4 linked regions of the Danio rerio genome follow. The protein of the gene in region 3 binds, or shares a complex with, the protein of the main gene of each other region. Links are inferred from orthologs where the notes say so. Each region holds a gene or a part of one and is shown on either strand. Other genes may lie near its edges.

Region 1 (4,906 bases), on a different chromosome or scaffold from region 3:
AATAAACAAAAAATACTGTTTGAATTTTACATTTTACAGACATTTTGTGTATTTGTACAGTACTGAAAGGTCTTCACTAATTTGGCGTAAACCTAATCTCTGCATGGAATTGCTAAAATCCTAAATATATCATATTATATTAAATAAGTTCACTTTTGAGAGAACGTCTATTTACATAAATTATTTTGAAGGGAATTTACAGACCAGTGTCAGAAAAAAAACACCTGTAACTGGTGTGTGTGTGTGTGTGTGTGTGTGTGTGTGTGTATTGTGCTGACCCGAGCTCATGGGTGGAAGTGTCACAGCTCCTGGAACTGTCTCCTGAGCCCATCCTGCGCCTCTTGGGGGCTTGACTCCCATCACTGGAGTTCTCCTCAATGTCATCCTGTTTGAAGAGAAAGTCTGTCACATAGATTTCTGTATTCGCAGGCTAACATTAAATAAATTGAGGTCAAGTTTAATATTCGCACATTTGTTCAGTGGCTAATTTTGACATGCACCACAGTGTATCCATATTCTGATGGCTACTTCCAGCAGGATGACGTGCCATGTCATAAAGTGTGAATCACCTCAGACTAACACGACAATGAGTGCACTGTACTCAAATGGCCTCCACAGACACCATATCTAAATCCAACAGAGCACCTTTGGGATGTGGTGGAACGGGAAATTCACATCATGGATAAGCAGCTGACAAATGTGCAGCAACTGTGTGATGCTATCATGTCAACATTAACTAAAATTTCTGAGGAATATTTCCAGTACCTTGTTGAATTTATGCCACGAAGGATTAAGGCAGTTCTGAAGGCATAAGGGGGTCCAACCAGGTACAAATAAGGTGTACCTAATAAAGTGGCCAGTGATTGTTTATACCATGCCAATAAACTAAAAACGACTGTTCAAAACCATCTAGATAAGTCATTGCGGGTCCACTTTTCTGTGTTAATCAATTTACGAAATATTACTCGAAATGCATGGCCTGTTCAGCTACCTCGGCTAACGTTAACAGGCTAATGGTAAACAAACAAAGGCGAATGTACGTCACACTCACGCTGAAACTGTACAGGTGTAAGTACAGTTTTACATTGCTAGAGTGATATATCTGCAGCTTCTGCTAAGAAAAAGTAGTAAGTAAACATCACAAACCTTTATAGACTGGGTCCCAGGAGTTGCAGGATTGCTATCGCACGGTCTCGGCGATAGAACAGCTGCCATGTTGTTATTCTGCGAATGAAAGGGCGTCACATTCCGGCTGGAAACTAGCACAATGGGAACGCGACAAAGTGTTCCTATCTCTAAAAACAAAAAATTGAAAACTAAATATTATTTAATTGCACGTCTATTTTGGTAACTTTTTGGGACAAGGTTTATTTTAATTACAAACTATTTAAAATGTTTTACATTTATTTTAAAATTATGTTTTGTATTAAATTTAAAAATTTATTATTTTTATTATTTTTATTTTTAATTAATTGATAAGACATTTTAAATGTTTTTTTATTTAATAAAATTTGTCAATTATAAAAAAAAAACAGCGTAGGAGGCGGGGCTTGTGTAAAAAAAACAGGCTTGTCTTCTCGCGCAACTGTCTGGAACAGGAAGTGAAACCCTGCGCTGCTGTTTGAGTGCTAGAAGCACTTTGTTGAGAAAGTTCGGCTTCCTCTGACGGCTCCTCTGGGTCTCTGAAAGATGGACAGCCAAGGAAGAAAAGTGGTGGTTTGTGATAACGGAACAGGGGTACGTCCGCAACGCTAACACGCGACGTTTGTCTTGTCGAGCTTTTATTTCGAGTGACATGATAATAAGACCGATAGACCCCTAACAGGAAGTCATGAAAGCTTAGCGCAGCTATAAAGAATGTCTGACAGCTGCTTTCTCTGCTGTGTTATCTGACTGTGGCTTTATTTCTCTGCTTTATATCCAGCTTTCATTCTGCAGCAGACTCGATATCTCATATTCTTTCGTTAGGAGAGAATCGTAGCATGGCGTTGGTTGAATTAACTGCAAATGTCGCTTCATAATACAATAATAACAACACATTGACACAAATAATCGAATTAACTGCATGACCAAACCTTCAGAGCTCATTCTTGCAGCGATATGCTAGCAGCTTTCTTGCATAACATATTATTAATATGAATTTTGCGTTGCTATGGTTACATGCCATTCCCCATTCACTGTGAATGTTGCTGCCACTTGCTTTCAAACTATTTTTGCATATTACAAGCTATGGGTGATGGCACTTCCTCATCTCTCGGTTTCAGTGGATAGGAGCTGCACTAATGTTCAGTGATGCTCAATCCTGGTTAATCATTCAATACATTCTTTGCACATTAGAATAATGCTGATATAGTGAGCTCTGGAATTTCGCTGGTTTTGTCCTGACATCACAATTTTGGCGACGTCAGCATGTTTGAAGCTCAACTCGAGGTAGAAGAAGAAGTAATGTGAATGTTTTAATAATGTATTTTTAGTAAACAAACCAAGTCAGTGAAACAGAGAAGCATGAGTCAGAAGGAAGTGATGTCAAAACCACAGCCTGAAAGCATTTCTCTACATGTCGAATGACCAATGAACGAGCGTGAAAGCCTCCAGACCATTTTTGGAATAGTGTTAAGATGAGAAACAAGACATTACAGTTTTTTTTTATTCAAAGATCTGTTATAAACGATTCACACGAGCTGGAAGAAACAAGCGACTTAACTTCTTTCTTAATGTTCAGGAAGGTTTATTATCATTAGAAGTTTTGAGTAAAAAACTATTGTTCAGTGTCTTAAAGGGAAAGTCAACACAAAATGACCATCCCTTTTAAAAAGGTGTTTTAAAAAGTTTATTTTCTTCTGTTGAACACAAAGAAGACTAAGAATGATGGAAAAAACAACCATTCACTTTCATAGTATTGTATTTTTGATCCTACTACTATGGATGTCAATGACTGTTTTTTTTTTCAGCATTCTTCAGACTCCTTGTGTCTTGATTTGTGTTCAGTAGAAGAAAGACATTTGTTGAAGTTTAGAACCACTGGACTATAAGTACGATTTGTTTCTATTTTTATTTTGGGTGAACTATTTCTTTGAACAAAATGAGGGCTGTTCTCATGATCCTGGTCTGGAAAGTTGCTGGCAATTTTGCAGAAAAGGTTAAATGTGTGAAAGGGCTGATAGTAGTCGTCTAGTAGTACACTGGTCAATCACTTTATTTTCATAGATTTCTTCTTGCAGAATGTCTGATGAGCCTGGATTAAAACAAAAAGCTATGTAAGAGTCTGTGATGACGGATCATGCATAAACTTACAAAAACAATTGCATATAATTGCCATTTTACACTGTAAAAAATGCTGGGTTCCTTTAAACTTATTTTTTTTTTTACAACTTTAAAGGGCCATGAAACCCCCTCGTTTCAGCAGGGTGTTTTCACACCTCTACTTTAGAAAAAGTCAGAAAAGTGGGCGTGTCCAGCTCTGTTTAGGGGGGAGTGTCGGAGGAACTAAAGTGGGATGGTGTGAGAGTGTCTATTTTGGTATGCGCGAGTTTCAGAGTCAAAACACACACACACAGGGGAGAAAGTGACTGTGTTTACATGGACATCTGTAGTCAAATTATTTGCCAAATTATTAAATGCTGGACTTTAACTGCAGTTTGGCTCTTTCATTCAGGGAATTCATTCATGCCCCTCGCGACAAACGAGATATTTGATTCGAGGAACTGCTCTAAGCGTGTATTTTTCATGCAGTGTTTGATACCGCACGGCGAATGAGAGAAAAAAAAACTCAGCATTTCCCGGAAACTTAGATGAACACGGCAGGTAGCGTCAGAAAGCCGCGTGTGTTATTCCGGTCACAAAATGCGGTGAAAACCCTACACGAGGTTAAAGTTTGGTTGTGGTGCTAACGTGTTTACACTCGGCGCAATAGTTCGATACGAACAAACTGAATAAACAAAGAGCACTGGTCGCTCACTTACCAAATCTGTAGAGACAGGACAATCACCAGCAACTAGAGCTGCGTCTTTATTAAGAGGAAACTACAAGCGAATCCAGATCTCAGCGTTTGCAGATGAGAACTGCTCTCAGGTAAACAATGTTCCTCCTTAGACACGCAAGTTATTGTTGTCGAGCGTCGCGTACACTGGTAATCCACACGCGAGTCTGAGCTCTCACAGAGAGAAAATAAAAACAAAACTTAACTGCAGCAAACTATAAAAGCTACACTTCACGCTTGTTTTGCCAGCACAACGTGGCGTCTCTGTCGTCTAAACACTGTGACATTAATGAATATTAATGAAGTTGCACAATAGAGCGCGCTGATTGGTTTGAACCAAGCTTTACTCATGCATTAATGCAGCACACTCTGAGACGTAATAAGACACACTCTGGCACAGATGTCCAGTCTGCACGCTGGAATACAGGCTATTATGTCATGACCGTGACGCAGCTTCAAAAATTTGTTTCAAACCGGAAGTACGAATTTGCTTGAAATAATGCAAAAATAACCAATTTACACTTTTTAGTGAAATATAGGTGTCCTAATAGTGTTTTTAGCAGTGTGGGACACATATACGACTATTAACAGCTCAAAAAATGTGTTTTGGTGTTTCGTGACCCTTTAAATTGATTGAACAAAACAATTAAGATGTCCCATAAAAAAAAAATAAAAAAACTTCAAGAATTGTGTTGTTTTAGCTAGTTTTGTATGTATAAATGCAACAATGCAATTATTTGGAGCTCTTTTAAATATAGAAAATACTAAGAGAGTATATTGCACATTAAAATGACGTCATTATTTATTATTTTAAATTCTGCAGTTGGATTAGAGCTGAACAAAATATATTGCAATTTAAAAAAAAAAATATTATTATTATTATTTATTTTTTATATATTTTTTTGCTACAGGATCTGCAATGTTGAG
Region 2 (5,091 bases), on a different chromosome or scaffold from region 3:
TCTAATAGAACAACAGGACAAAATCTAATGTAATTATCTATGGCAGAGCCTACCAATTAGCCAATGGAAACATGCTAAATCATGCTAGCAACATGTGCTAATCAAATGTTAAAAACATGTAAGTAAAATGCTAATTCTTGCTAAAATGCTAAATATTGCTAAAAGCATAATACCAATGTACTAAAGCACGTTAAACACATAAATATGCTAGAAGTATGCTAAATCATAATTTCTGTTAAGTGCATTCTGTGTCCCCAGTGAAGATCATGATATCATTGACTTTTAAACTTTAAGCATATTTATTTATTTATTTTTTAAATAAAGATCCCAAATATCCCTAAACATCCCAAAAATCACATTCCAGGTCCGTGTTTGCACTATTTAGGATGGATAAAACACTTAATATGAGTGATAATATTAAAAGTATATAATTGTAAAAACAAAGAATGTTTTCAATTTGTCTCAAATTATTGTTCACCTGTTATGAGATTACTAGCCCTTTAAATTCAAATTGTCACAATAAAATGACATCATATATTAACCACTGCCTTGGAGGGAAAACAACCGGGAAGGGTGAGAGGAGAGCATCTGTTTTGTTAATTAAATATTAAATTAGATTTTTTTCCCAAAACAATTCAAATGAAACAGAATACTTTGAGGCATACATTCTTATTTGTAGGATTAGCATTCTGAAAAAACCTTAAATTCTATATTTGGCATACACTCAGTTAGCATTTTTGTTTGTTTGTTTGACTTATAGTGTAATGGCTGATTCTAGGGTATATCCACCCTGTTTAGTCAGAAAAACAGAAGAAAAAACAGCAAAACACCCATATTATGCTAAAAATCACCTATTGTTTTTGAAAAATGGAAGTTTATTGAGGAGATTTAACATTTAAGCTAGCTAGACTGAACAAAAATCTACAAACAGAAGTCCTGGTCAGTGGACTCGAGTAAAACGAAATAAAACCTGTCGATATTTCTGTGCAGTATCCCATTGAAAGATATCAAGGAAAAAAATACTGTGTTCATATAAAATAGATAATACATCTATAATTTGATGGAAGGCGTTTAATTGGTGCAGTGGTGTATAAGCACCAAAATGATCATCAAAATTAAATGGCATGCCTGTTATATAAAGAATTTTTTGCATGTTTACCACATTATAATATATTTATTTTCCCAATTATACTATTATAACTTTTTTGGTCTTAAAGGGATAGTTAACCCTAAAAGAAAAATTACCTTATGTATTCTCCCTTCAGTCTTTCTTTCTTTTGTTAAAGATAGAAGAAGATATTTTGAAAAATGCTGGTTGCTGGCACCTGTCGACTTCAAAATACTATGGAAGTCAATTAGTGCCAGTTACCAGCAGTCTTCAAGATATCATCTTTTGTGTTCAGGATTAGAAAGAAACTCAAATTGGTTTCGAAGAAGTGAAAAATGACAAAATGATGGTAGATTTTCAGTTTTGGGTGAACTATCCCTTTAACGCCAACTTCTGCACTTGATTCAAACACCGGAAATGCAACAAGCTAGTAGACAAGCTGTCATATGCAACGACTGCAAATCTGGGAGTTTTAAACAGGCACAACGGCTGGATTCTGAAAGAGTATCTACTTCAGCAGTTGAGCTTGCACATTTCTCATAGGTGAGCTCAAAAATGCTCATGTTTTTAACAGCGGCAGTACGTTAAAGCTTCAAGTGTTTCTCATTCGTCTCATTTCCCTGCTGTTGCTCGGCGGTCTGCTGAAGACGTACGACATCAGCAACAAAGCACCATTCATGGTAAAACAGGAAGTCTGGGGGGAATTAGTCATTACTGCTTCTCTCATCATCAGCATGGAAAGAAAAGCAGGGCGGCAGCAGTGAAAAGATACAACTTTTAGACGTTTGCTCCTTTAACAGCAGATTGTTTGTTCTTGCTTTGGATTTTCCAAGAGAAAACACATTTAACTGCTGACTAGGTTCAATCCGGCACCATATATTACGCAAAAAAAAAATGCTGTATGAATTCCCCTGTATATACTGACACATTTCTGGAAGGAGGTTCAGCTTTTTATCCATAACAAACTATTAGACTGTTGGGCTCCCAAGGACCCAACGGAGGTTCAGGTGAACATTCAAAGTTTACAAAAAAAAGAAGTCGGCTTAAGAAGACATTCTTTGTGAGTAAATCTCAAAGCTCATTCAGAAAATCCTCAAAATTATTCGACTCATGATGAAATGGGCTTTGGAGACATTGAAATCGATAATATTTTCAGCAATGATGCTCCCACATGATTACAGAGTTCATATGCTGATGCATATCTTTAGCTCTAGGGACAGGAAACTGCTTCAGAGAGTAGAGATACTGCGAGTTTAAGAACTTACGAGTTCGGTCCTTGTTCCAGGCATGGCAGCTGATGGGTTCAAGAAGAAAACTGTGATAAGCCATGGTCGCTTTTCCTAAAAATGAATAGGCATTTTGAGATTAAATGGTAAATATCCCTAGTACACCAAAGGGTCACACTTTATTTTGATTGTCCGCTTATTGAAATTAAGTTACATTGCATATACATGCCAACTAATCCTCATTAGATTATAAGTAGTGTTATGTTGGGGTAAAGGTTAGTTAGGGCAAACGTACTTATAGCAAAATGCCTGTTGAAGGATATTAAGCACAGTCTACTAATACTCAAATGGACCATCAAAATAAAGTGTTACCCACCAAAGTAGAACACTTCCGTAGAGATGTGTTTCTAAAATGGAGAACTGTAGAACTTCCTTAAAACTATTAGTGTTAATTACTGTATAGGTTAACTAAATTAATTGCTGCTGTAGGTCAAACTTGAAACAAGTTTTTGCCTTAGTAACTGCAAACGCTTCTTCGTTTTCTTAGTGTTTGAACTAAATTAAAACCAGAGCAGAAAGGAATGTCACAAGGCCAGATGCTCAGTCACCAAGTAAAACACTTAAAACAGCTCTCCTGTCGAATCATAGTTTGCATCACCTAAAACAACTAACGGTCCTCTATGCTCAGGAAGTGTGCAGCGATGGGCTTCAAACCTCAGATGTCAAAAATACTGAAACACACTTCTTCCTGGGTGTCATTCTGCATGTTAGTGCACGTTAGTCACCAACATTCCAAAACTAGAGATTGCTCCAGATCTTCTACATTCAGATAAACAAAACCATATGTTATTCTACTTACCCAGGAAACCGTAAAAACACAGAGATGCTAGAGGCGGGGGGGCTGACAAAGCCTGCGACAGAAGCCTGGGTTCGTGGACTCTGAGCAGTCAACACAAACGCTGGCTTTGCTCTGAATGAACTCAACTATTTCCTTAGTCGTTTTTCTCTCCAAAAAATGCACTACTTCCCCTTCCCTGTTAGAAACTTATAACCACTTCCTTGTGTGGGCGGCTGTCTGTTGGCGAGGAGGGTTTTCAGCTCAACTCCCCTTCACATTCTCTTTGGGTGTGCATGTGTAACGTGTGCTCTTTTTAAGTCATGCGTCTGCACTGATGATTTATGGGCGCTAGCGAAAGCAGAACTTTTTCAAAGGGAAGAGAGCAGAAAAGTAAAGGTCGTAGACAAACTTTATGGTGGCTTGAGAAAGCCTTGTCTGAAAGTCGTTTTAAAGTTTGAAACAGTTGACATACAGATATGTACATATATGTTAGCATGTTTCTAGTATGGACTGGTATGTTTCTTGCTATGTGGTTGATAGGGTGTTCTGAGTAGTTGCTAAGGTGTTGCTAGGGTGTTTTATGTGGTTGCTAATGTATTGCTAGGCAGTTGCTAGGTTGTTCTGAGTGGTTGCTAAAGCATTGCTAGGGTGTTCTAGGTGGTTGCTAGGGTTTTGCTAGTCAGTTGCCAGGGTGTTCTGAGTGGTTGCTAAGGCGTTGCTAGATATTTGCTAGGGTGTTCTAGGTGGTTGCTAAGGTGTTCTGAGAGATTGCTAGGCTGATTGCTAAGAAGTTCTGAGTGGTTGGTAGGCGATTGCTAGAGTGTTCTAGGTGGTTGCCATGGTGTTCTAGCTGGTTGCTAAAGCATTGCTAGGCGGTTGCTAGGGGGTTCTAGGTGGTTAAAAATGTTGTTAGGCGGTTGCTAAGGTGTTCTTAGTGGCTGCTAGGCAATTGCTTACATAAATACCACGGTTCTAGTAGGAATTAGCATGTTTGTAACATGAATTAGCATGAATTCAGTATAAATTAGCATGCTGCTAGTATGTTTATAGTATGTATTAGCATGTTGCTAGTATTATTAGTATGCTTGTTAGGATGTTTCCAGTACGAATTGGCATGTTGTTAGTATGTTCAATGTAGTCAATGGCAGTTTTTTTTTTTACAATGGAAATCTATGGGAGAGTTGCTAGGGTGCCATAAGTGGTTGCTAGGGCGTTGCTAGGTAGTTGCTAAAGTGTTCTAGGCGGTTGCTAAGGTGTTCTGAGTGGTTGTTAGGCGATTGCTAGGGTGTTCTAGGTGGTTGCTACGGCATTGCTAGACAGTTGCTAAGGTGTTCTAGATGGTTAAAGATGTTGCTATGTGGTTGCTAAGGTGTTTTGATTGGTTTATAAGGTGTTGTTAGGCAGTTGCTAAAGTGTTCTTATTGGCTGCTAAGCAGTTACTTACATAAAGCATATAGCGGGTGGTGGTGGGGCAACTGCAAGAACACCTGCAAGCAAACGCTTTGTTTGATGCATTTCATTTATTTCGATCATGACATAGCTCAGAAACTGCTTTAGTTAAGGTTGTAAATGACCTCCTGATTGCTGAATCGGGGGCTTGTGGTATTTTAGTGCTTTTAGACTTAACCGCAGCTTTTGATACAATTTCTCACAGCATACTTTTGGACAGACTTCATAACTGGGTTGGTGTGGATGGGATTGTGCTAAATTGGTTTAAAGCCTATCTTTCTGGATGTTCACAGTTTATCTATATGGGCGGTTACAGATCGCGTACTGTCCCTTTATGTCATGGTGTCCCCCAAGGGTCAGTACCTGGTCCATTTCTATTTAGTATTTATATGTTGCCTCTTGGGGGTGAGGCAGTGGCGCAGTAGGTAGTGCTCACAGCAAGAAGGTCGCTGGTTCGAACCTCGGCTCAG
Region 3 (4,291 bases):
CACAAGGGTTAAAATCTATTTGATATGATTTTTCAGTTATGTCGATCTTTTGTTTACAAATCCTGGTCCTCAATTAATGATCTTTTTTTCAATCGTTGCTGATGATGAGGATTCATGTTTAAAGGTATGTCTAAGCTATGATTTATTAACTGTTTAAATTAAAATTTGATATGAATGTTGCTGCTTAATATATAACAATTTAAAATCTTGCGTATACAGTTGAAGTCAGAATTATTAACCCTTCTGTCAATTCGTTTTTCTTTTTTAAATATTTCCCAAATTATTTTTTTTGAGTATTTCCTATAATATTTTTTCTTCTGTAGAAAGTCTTATTTGTTGTAATTCGGCTAGAATAAAAGCAATTTTTAATTTGTTTTAAACCATTTTAAGGTATTTTTTTCCCAATTGTCTACAGAATAAACCAGCGTTATTCAATGATTTGCCTAATTACCCTAGTTAAGTCTTTAAATGCCACTTTAAGCTCTATAGAAGTATCTTAAAAGGGGGCTAATAATTCTGACTTTACTGTATACATTTCATGCATGAAAAATTCATTACATGTTTTATCGACTGAATGTAGAAGAGCTAATGTTTAAGAGCTAATGTTTTTAACCTAAAAAACAATCATTTGACTAGCAGATTATGAAAACAGTTTGAAGGAACTCTCAGTATCTTACATCGACTCGTCGTCCCTGTAATGAACAACGGCTCTTTTCTCGCCATCGCGACCCTCCTCCTGAAACTTGAAGTACTTCTCGAAGACGGAAGCGAAGCAGTTTCTCTTTAGGATCCCAGCCTGGTGGATCATCTCCTCTTTATTGGGTGGAAGAGCGTCCAGGTCGAAGAGCAGTGAAATGTTGTAGCCTTCAAAGAGGGGGGAAAAAACCATCAAACTACTAATTCTACTGTAAAAATAAAAATAAAGACAATAATAAACAAAGTTTGGCTCACCGTCTTCTGGTGCCACGAGGAAATTTCCATAAACGCGCTTCAGCAACTGAAACACAACCAATTTAAAGGTGACAAATCTTTTTTAAAATTGTAATTAATTTAACAAAAACTCTAGTTTTATGAATAATGTGAAAATATTTATGTAAATTTACTTAAAATGGGAATTAAACATCCTTTATAGATTTTTTATACAAGTATAAAATGACACTTTTAAAAAAAGAACACAAAAAAAAGAGCAAAATAAAGGTTTAAATTAAAATTCTGACAATAAATAGGGGTGACACGGGGGCTCAGTGGTTAGCACCGTCGCCTCACAGCAAGAAGGTCGCTATTTCAAGACCCGGCTGGGTCAGTTGGCATTTCCGCTGTGGTGACCCCTGATGAATAAAGGGAGTAAGCCGAAGGAAAATGAATGGATGAACAATAAAACTTTGCATGGATCAAAGACAAAAATGTGTTTAAGCATCTATACAAACGAAAATATAATACAGCTTTTAAAAATTTAGATTTTTTGCATTTTGTATTAAATACATATTTAATATGCTACCAAAATGTCATTAATTTTAATAGGCAAAACACAGGACAGATAAAGTACGAGTGGCATTTTTACATGAACGTTTTGCACAATGAAGATTGAACATAATTGCACACATATTTTTCCAAAAACATTTAAGCAATCAGACAACTGCATTTAATATTAGGCGTGTAGCGGATCATGGTCGATTTGTGATCACAACCATGTGGAACACACATGACCAGCGGATTAAAATATTTTATTTTTTACTTCTGGATTAAACCTAATTTCGTAACAATTACAGAGAGATCCATCAAACCACATGTATAAAAGAATTTAGGCTTTCCTGTAAAATGTAATGAAGGAAGAAGTTGTGGTAGGTTATTTAGGATGTGGGGGTTTTCTTAGGTTATTAAAGGTGTTTTCTGTCGCTACTTGTTTTACCTGCATTAATGCAATCAGTGTAAGCTGCATGCTTAATCATTAAAAGATTGGGAACTTTTCAACAAATTATAAATGATGGTGATTTGCATACGTTTATTCATCCTAATAGATTCAGTCTTCAGTCTTTTGAGTCATGAAATTACAAACAGTCAAGTAACACAGAAATACTAGCATAACAGTTTATAGTATAGATCCCTTGATGTTTATGGTAAAGATTAAAATCACCGTCATATGCATTTAACTTGATGCTCAAGAATGAAAGTTGCACGTAGTAATTGCATTTAACCAATAGGTGGCGACAACCAGCCATCAAAAATATGCCACTGAATAATTCTTCAAATATGACACATCCAGCAGTGAAATATTAAGTTTTGTGAGTGAATAACTGAATCATTTATTGTAAATGAGACTGAAATAAACATGGGTTGTACAAATTACAAATGTTAGATTTTTACATTTAGCGTTATCAGCAACAGTAGCAACTCATACTTTCACAATACTGAATATTCTACAATTTATTTTTATTCAGCTGGTTATTTCTTCATTTTAATTTTTCATATTTTTTTATATAAAGGGTTCATACACATTTTTACTACTAAAATTCCATGACTTTTCCAAGACTTTTCCAAAACTTTCAAGTACATTTTCATGACGTAACATCTGCATATGGTAAATAATAAGAAAATCAACGACCTTCAAATTTATTCCAGCATATCATAGAACACGCAACAATCTATTTAGTTTACATTTGTTTTTATATCTATGTCAAATGGATTTTGATAATGCTTACACAGCACCAACAATGTGAGAGAAAGGACAGAGACAACTAACCTATTCAAGTTAGAGCTGCACAATATATCGTTTCAGCATCAATGTTGCAATGTGTGCATCCGCAATAGTCACATTGCAGGATATGCAGTGTTGGGATTATAGTTTAATATAGAGTTTAATCATAATGGAGTAACAGTTTATCATCTGCATGCATTTTTAAAGAGAAAGTTCACCCACTAATTAATACTTACGATTTTCATTACAACCCTTCACTTTTTTCAAACATTTATGAGTTTTCTTTTTTTAAATGAACACAAAAAGAGTATAACTTAATAACACCTATAGCATTAATACAAGCGAAAAGTGAGTAAATAGTGAGTACGTTTTAATCTTTGAGTAAACTGTCTCTTGAAGGCCTGTGACTGTGTGAACATTTCAATATTTCAGATTTTAAACATCCGGCCACAGGAAATTTTTTTAATACTTTAAGAAAGATTAAATAATATACAATGAAGACACTGCAGTGTTGATTATTCAATATCTGCACCTGAATAGTGAATACCTGAAAACTATAATTCACTTACTACTCATTTTTTACTATATTTTATTTATGCTTGTAATTTATTTGTTTTATATTATTCGAGATTCATTCCTCTACAAAATCCCCCCAATCAATCCAAATAAACCTGTTAAATCATCTGGTGAAATCCAATTTACATCGCAATATATACCACAGAAATAAAAAAATACGGTAATGTCAGATTTTTCCAATATCGAACAGCCCTAATTCAACTATACAGATATTTGTTAAACTAATTTCCATGACTTTTCCAAAACTTTGTGGGTTTTTCTGTTGTTTCAAAACTTTTCCAGGCCTGAAAAATGCCATGTCAAAATACCATGACTTTCTAGGTCAGTGGTTCTCAAAGTGGGGGTCGGGACCCCTTGAGGGGTCGCGGAACAATGAAGGGGGGGAATCGCCAGGTGATTTCCAAAAATCTACTTATTATTATTATTATTATTAGACCTTAAGAATTACCATATTTTATCCATAACAACTCAAGAGAAAAAAACAGCTATTTATAGTTACTATAGTAGCTTATTTACTTGTTCTATTGAATTGCGACCCCTGGGGTAAATACATTATATTAAAGACAGCAATAGCGTCAGATGCAGCAGATTGATTTTATAACACCAGGTTAAACTTTCTGGCCCATTTACAGCACTGAAATACATTAAAAAAATTAAACGAAGAATAGACTTTGGTCTATTGGTGTGTGTGTGCGCCATTGCATGCAAGTTTTCTGTATTTATAACCACCTCAGAGGATATTGGGGGTCGCGAGTCACTGGCATTGTTATTTTAGGGGTCGCGTGCTAAAAAGTTTGGGAACCCCTGTTCTAGGTTTTCCATGACCGTATGAACTATGTATGGGTTTTTGTAAAAAGAATGCAAGGCAAATTACATTTGTCTCCCCTTTTTGGCTGATCCATGACTAAAAAAAAATATGTGATCCGTTACACCACTATTTAATATACTTTTACAATGCATATAAAAAAACAACTATATTTAATTTAACATTATTCCCAAACATATAAACTTGGGTGGGTG
Region 4 (4,986 bases), on a different chromosome or scaffold from region 3:
TTGTTTAATCAAATCTCAACCAAAATACTCATATAAAATGCTTAAGTGTTTTCCTTTTTTTCCTAGGAAGTAGATGAGGAACCCAGCAATTCCAATTTTGATGCGTTCTTCCAAGACACAGCAGATTCTTGAGCTAAGAGCCAGTTCACACTTAGTTTCTTTATATTTTGTCATGATTTCATTGTTTGAAGGATGAAACAATAACCTGTGCTATGCAGAGTTTTATCAAATATTGTTCATTTTTAGAACTGTATATTTATTTTTGCAATAAAAAATATGGAAATTTCAAATGTGTTTTATTTTGCTCAAAATCTTCTTGTTACATTTTATCTTTGAAGTGTAACAACTTTAGAGATCTTTTCAATACTATAGTATTGTTACAATATAGTTAAAACTATAGTATTTGAAGATTAAACCAGTGGGTAAAACTAAATGGTAATTAAAAAGCACCTTGGTTTCTAAACTTTTACAGGAAATAAAGCCATGGTTTGTTTTGGTAACAGAAGACATTGATAGTGACGTTCCTTAAATTTCCAGAATAGTGGTTGATCTTGGTTATTTATTCAGTGGCTGTTAAACTTTTATATTGAACCTTCCAGTCTTGAATATTTGATTTGAACCTTGTTAATAGGAGGTAGGAATAGTTCACGCATCATTTACTCATCCTCCTTTTGTTGCAAACCTATTTGAGTTACTTTCTTCTGTTGAACACAAAAATAAAAGATATTTTAAAGAATGTTGGAAACCCTGAACACTGGAACACTGACCTCATTTCTGGGTGAACATTTTATTAATTGATAGTTTACCCAAAAATGAACATTGTCATCAATTACTCACCCTATACTTGTTTCAAACCTTTGAGTTTATTTCTTGTGTTGAACACAGGAAAATTCATTTATTTTCCTTCGGCTTATACCCTTTGTTGGTCATTGGTTACCACAGCGGATTGAACCACCAACTTATTCAGCATATGTTTTACACAATGAAAGCCCTTCCAGCTGCAACCCACTACTGGGAAGCACCCATATACTCATTCACACACATACACTACATCCAATTTAGTTTATTAAATTCACCTATAGTGTTTAGACAGTGATGGGGAACCAGCGCACCCGAAGGAAATCTACGCCAACACAGGGAGAACATGCAAACTCCACACAGAAATGCCAACTCCCAGCCGGGACTCGAACCAGCACCCTTCTTGCTTTGAGGCAAGAGTGCTAACCACTGAGCACTTTTTTTCCCTGTGGATGTCAATGTTTACAAGTTTTAATTTTTCTTCAAAATGTCCTTTAGTGTTAAACGAAAGAAACTCAAAGGTTTGGAACGACTTGAGGGCGAGTAAATATAATTTTTTGTGTGAACTAAATCAAATCAAATCACTTTTATTGTCACATCTGCAGCAGCATCATCTATGGTGAGTGAAAAGCTTAACTAACCCTTTAAATCTAAAATACTAAAACTGTGTAATCTTTTCGACTGTCGTGAGGTGAAAATACTTTGCGCATGGAACGTTTTTTGAATATTCAATGGATATTTTACTGGATAATCTCTGGGGGAAAGAGAGACTGTAACCGTTACCTTTGGCGCCCTCCAGTGGTTTTGGCGAGATATTGTACTGGAAACTTCCTGTATCGGTGAAGGGTGGGACAGGCGGAAGCGACGGCTTGCAGCGCTGACATATTCATTTCTGCCTGCTAGGTTTGGGACATATTGTACCAAAATGCCGGTAAGAAATATTCACACATAACGATTTACACCACGAGCGCCATTGTTTGCTTTATAGGCGGTTGTGCCACGTTATACGTTAGAGCAGCGGGGAGCTAGAAAATATTTAGCTCTATTAGCCGAAGAGCTAATGTAAAAATCATGATACTCTCATCGTTTTTCCACAAATTTGACAGTTTTACGAATTTATTTATTTATTACATGTTTGAGTTTATCAAATGATCCCAAATATAAACATAGAAGTGTCAGAAAATGCGTTGTTTAAAACAGAATTGGTGAATCAGGTAATGTTGCAAACAACTGGATTTCCTCACTTAAATTAACGTTGTGATTTTTTTCTGTAAATATTAGTCCTTTTTAAAACAAATGTTTGCTCCGTCATATTGAAAAAAAAACATTATTAGTCTTGCGTTTTATGTCATCTTTCACTCTTTTTAGGCTTATCACTCAGCCCTGATGGATGCAGACACCAAACTGGTGGGCAATATGGCATTACTGCCCCTCAAAACACAGTTTAAGGGTCCTGCTGCTAGAGAAAGTAAGACAGGATTTACTTTTGTACTATTTAGGATCTAACAGTTAACTTACTTTGAGATATGAGATGTGTTTAACTCTACCTTAAATGGTCATTAGTAAAGAGTGTCTGACAAACCAGATTTCCTTCCTGTTTTTTATTACCAGCTAAAGACACAGACATCATTGATGAGGCCATTTACTACTTCAAAGCCAATGTTTTCTTCAAGAACTATGAAATAAAGGTAAGGAGCAAATGACCGTGCTGGAAGCGTGAAGGAGCCTGAAAAATGTACTTGCGTGCCTTAACCTGCATTCATAGTTCTGCGCTCAGAGAAGAATTAATATTCACTTTGTATTCGAATTTAAAGGCATGGTTCTCTCAATAATGAAAATTTACTCACCCTCAAGTGTTTCCAAACCTTTATGAGTTTCTTGCATATTTAAGAAGATATTTTGAAGAACAATGTAACCATTGACTTCAAAAGGAGACACAAATTCTATAAGAGTCAACAGGCCCGTAGCCAGCCTGGTGAAAGGGGGGGGGGGGGTCTTTTTTACAAAATGTGGACCTTTTTGATGTTATTCGCCTTACGTTCTATTTAATTCAGTGACATTTTAAGCCCTAGTTTTAGCTAGATTGTTGGGTGGTCATCCTAACCACACTTTTTGATGTACCAAAATATTTTCTAAAGATTTACAATACTGAAATAAATACTGAATAAAGAATACTTATCTTTAAAATACAAATGTATTACATTAGAACAAAAAAATAGGAATCTGTTGAAGTTTTAAATTAAAAACTAGTCTATTGTCATTTGTTAGGCAAATAACAAACTGACCAGTACATTCAACTTTGCTCTGTCAGAAATTTAAAATTATTATTATTTTAAATAATTAAAAATTTAAACAGTAATTACATTTTTGTTTTAAGAATAAGGTCCCAGATTTAGAATAAAAGTTACTGAAATGTTTTCTCTATTTAACAATACAGTAGCAAAATATGAGTTCACATACATTAGATTGCATGTTTTCTTGCATAGATGGATGTTGGAATCATGAAAAATAAATGTTTGCATTGACCAAATAGATTAGCTGAAGTCACACGATGTGATGGCCAGCAGAGCGTTCTGCTTGATCTTAAAGCTTTTCGATGGGTTATTTTTACTATTTATGATGACATAGCAGTCAAAATAGGACAAACAAGCCTAAGCCTATGTAGCAAATTGTGGACCTTTGTCAGTGGGTCTTTCGAACCTACTTTTTTTTTTTTTTTTTAATCTATATCCTCTTTTGTAAGAAAGTAAGTCAAACAGGTTTTGAACTAGTGAAGGGAGAGCAAATGATGGCATTATTTTACGTTTTGGGTGAACTATCCCTTTAAACTGTGTACCTATAAACTGTATGTATGCACATATTATTTACTTCAGTTTATATCAGATTTTGAATTTGTTGGATTTTTGATTGAAAGGGATGGCTCTGTGATAGGTTGCACATCCTCATAAGGGCTCAGCATTAAGCCTTGATGTCTATGTTGGTCACTAAACGGAAATGAAAAAGATATTTTAGTTGATCTTTAATTTGATTTCCAAGGCAGTGTTTTCATTTATAAAGGCCATTTTCCCCTAACTGTATTAAATGTGTGCTTCATTTTAACACAATAAGACATTGTCAGGCTGTTACCAGTTTGAGCATCAAAAACAGTCATCTGTCCACTGGCATTTAGATCTGTTTACACAGACAATAATAAAGCTCAAGTGCATGAATGCATCTACATTGCAAAGTTACTACTTCAGATATGTTATGTTTTTAAACCCTTTTAATGCGCAAGTTTTGAAAAGCTACATTCCATGCACTTGTTGTAAAAAAAATTCTGTCTTTTATGTTTACTTTTTAAAAAAATTATTGGTGACAAAATAAAGTAAAAAAAAAAAGCATAATTAGCAGTTTTGTGTCTAAAAATGCCATGTATTCTAAATCTAAATCTCTATAAGTGTCGTGTGTAAAAGTCATGTAATATCTACTTTTGTCATGTCATATATTTATAATACACATACATACATACATACATACATACATACATACATGCATGCATACATGCATGCATACATACATACATGCATGCATACATACATACATGCATACATACATACTTTCACTTTCACTAAAACATTCCTATACAAGCAGTGAAGTAAAGCCCTGCTCACCTCAAATTAAACATGAATATTAAATTTGAATAATGTTGCTAACCCAAAATATACAACGGAGGTCAATTAAAATCTCGTTCGCTTTACTAAAGGAAGAAATTCAAACAGGTTTGGAGTAAACTGTAATGAATAATCATGACTGGGAAATGTACATTTTGTGTGAACTGTCCTTTAAATGTTAAAGATTTTGTATTAAAATATTATTTTTAACTTGCTTTAGAATGAGGCTGATCGAACCTTGATCTACATCACTCTTTACATCTCTGAATGTCTCAAGAAACTCCAAAAGGTAATGAAAGATTCATACTCTAATAGGTAATGCTTCATACATATCTAACCTTCAATAATATGAATGCTTTACAGTGCAGTTCACGGGGCCAAGGAGAGAAGGAGATGTACACGCTGGGCATTACCAACTTCCCCATTCCCGGAGAGCCTGGTTTCCCTCTCAACGCCATGTATGCTAAACCCTCCAGCAAGCAGGAGGAAGGTATGGAGCAATAAATGATGGGTTTATTCAAAAGGGATATTTCTGGAC

The links. Proteins that work in one complex are often made in the same cells at the same time.
Region 1: arpc2 (region 3) and actr2b share a complex: the UniProt entries of both Homo sapiens proteins name them as parts of the arp2/3 complex. The link is inferred for Danio rerio from reciprocal best matches to the Homo sapiens genes ARPC2 and ACTR2.
Region 2: arpc2 (region 3) and arpc1b share a complex: the UniProt entries of both Homo sapiens proteins name them as parts of the arp2/3 complex. The link is inferred for Danio rerio from reciprocal best matches to the Homo sapiens genes ARPC2 and ARPC1B.
Region 4: arpc2 (region 3) and arpc3 share a complex: the UniProt entries of both Homo sapiens proteins name them as parts of the arp2/3 complex. The link is inferred for Danio rerio from reciprocal best matches to the Homo sapiens genes ARPC2 and ARPC3.

What each region holds. Positions count from the first base shown.
Region 1 is NC_133188.1:6,006,057-6,010,962, reverse strand, and holds the start of actr2b (actin-related protein 2-B), read left to right. Parts: upstream 1-1,608; 5' UTR 1,609-1,689; coding exon 1,690-1,737; intron 1,738-4,906. Other genes in the region: phf10 (PHD finger protein 10), read right to left, coding at 279-385, 1,147-1,215. UniProt on the Homo sapiens protein: ATP-binding component of the Arp2/3 complex, a multiprotein complex that mediates actin polymerization upon stimulation by nucleation-promoting factor (NPF).
Region 2 is NC_133178.1:39,761,986-39,767,076, reverse strand, and holds the start of arpc1b (actin-related protein 2/3 complex subunit 1B), read right to left. Parts: upstream 3,299-5,091; 5' UTR 3,194-3,298; exon of another isoform or gene 2,449-3,193; 5' UTR 2,438-2,448; coding exon 2,374-2,437; exon of another isoform or gene 1,515-2,373; intron 1-1,514. UniProt on the Homo sapiens protein: Component of the Arp2/3 complex, a multiprotein complex that mediates actin polymerization upon stimulation by nucleation-promoting factor (NPF).
Region 3 is NC_133184.1:49,918,952-49,923,242, forward strand, and holds part of arpc2 (actin-related protein 2/3 complex subunit 2), read right to left. Parts: intron 998-4,291; coding exon 952-997; intron 865-951; coding exon 678-864; intron 1-677. UniProt on the Homo sapiens protein: Actin-binding component of the Arp2/3 complex, a multiprotein complex that mediates actin polymerization upon stimulation by nucleation-promoting factor (NPF).
Region 4 is NC_133196.1:18,449,253-18,454,238, forward strand, and holds the start of arpc3 (actin-related protein 2/3 complex subunit 3), read left to right. Parts: upstream 1-1,688; 5' UTR 1,689-1,723; coding exon 1,724-1,729; exon of another isoform or gene 1,730-1,931; intron 1,932-2,166; coding exon 2,167-2,266; intron 2,267-2,409; coding exon 2,410-2,486; intron 2,487-4,668; coding exon 4,669-4,737; intron 4,738-4,811; coding exon 4,812-4,938; intron 4,939-4,986. Other genes in the region: protein FAM216A, read right to left, coding at 1,582-1,688. UniProt on the Homo sapiens protein: Component of the Arp2/3 complex, a multiprotein complex that mediates actin polymerization upon stimulation by nucleation-promoting factor (NPF).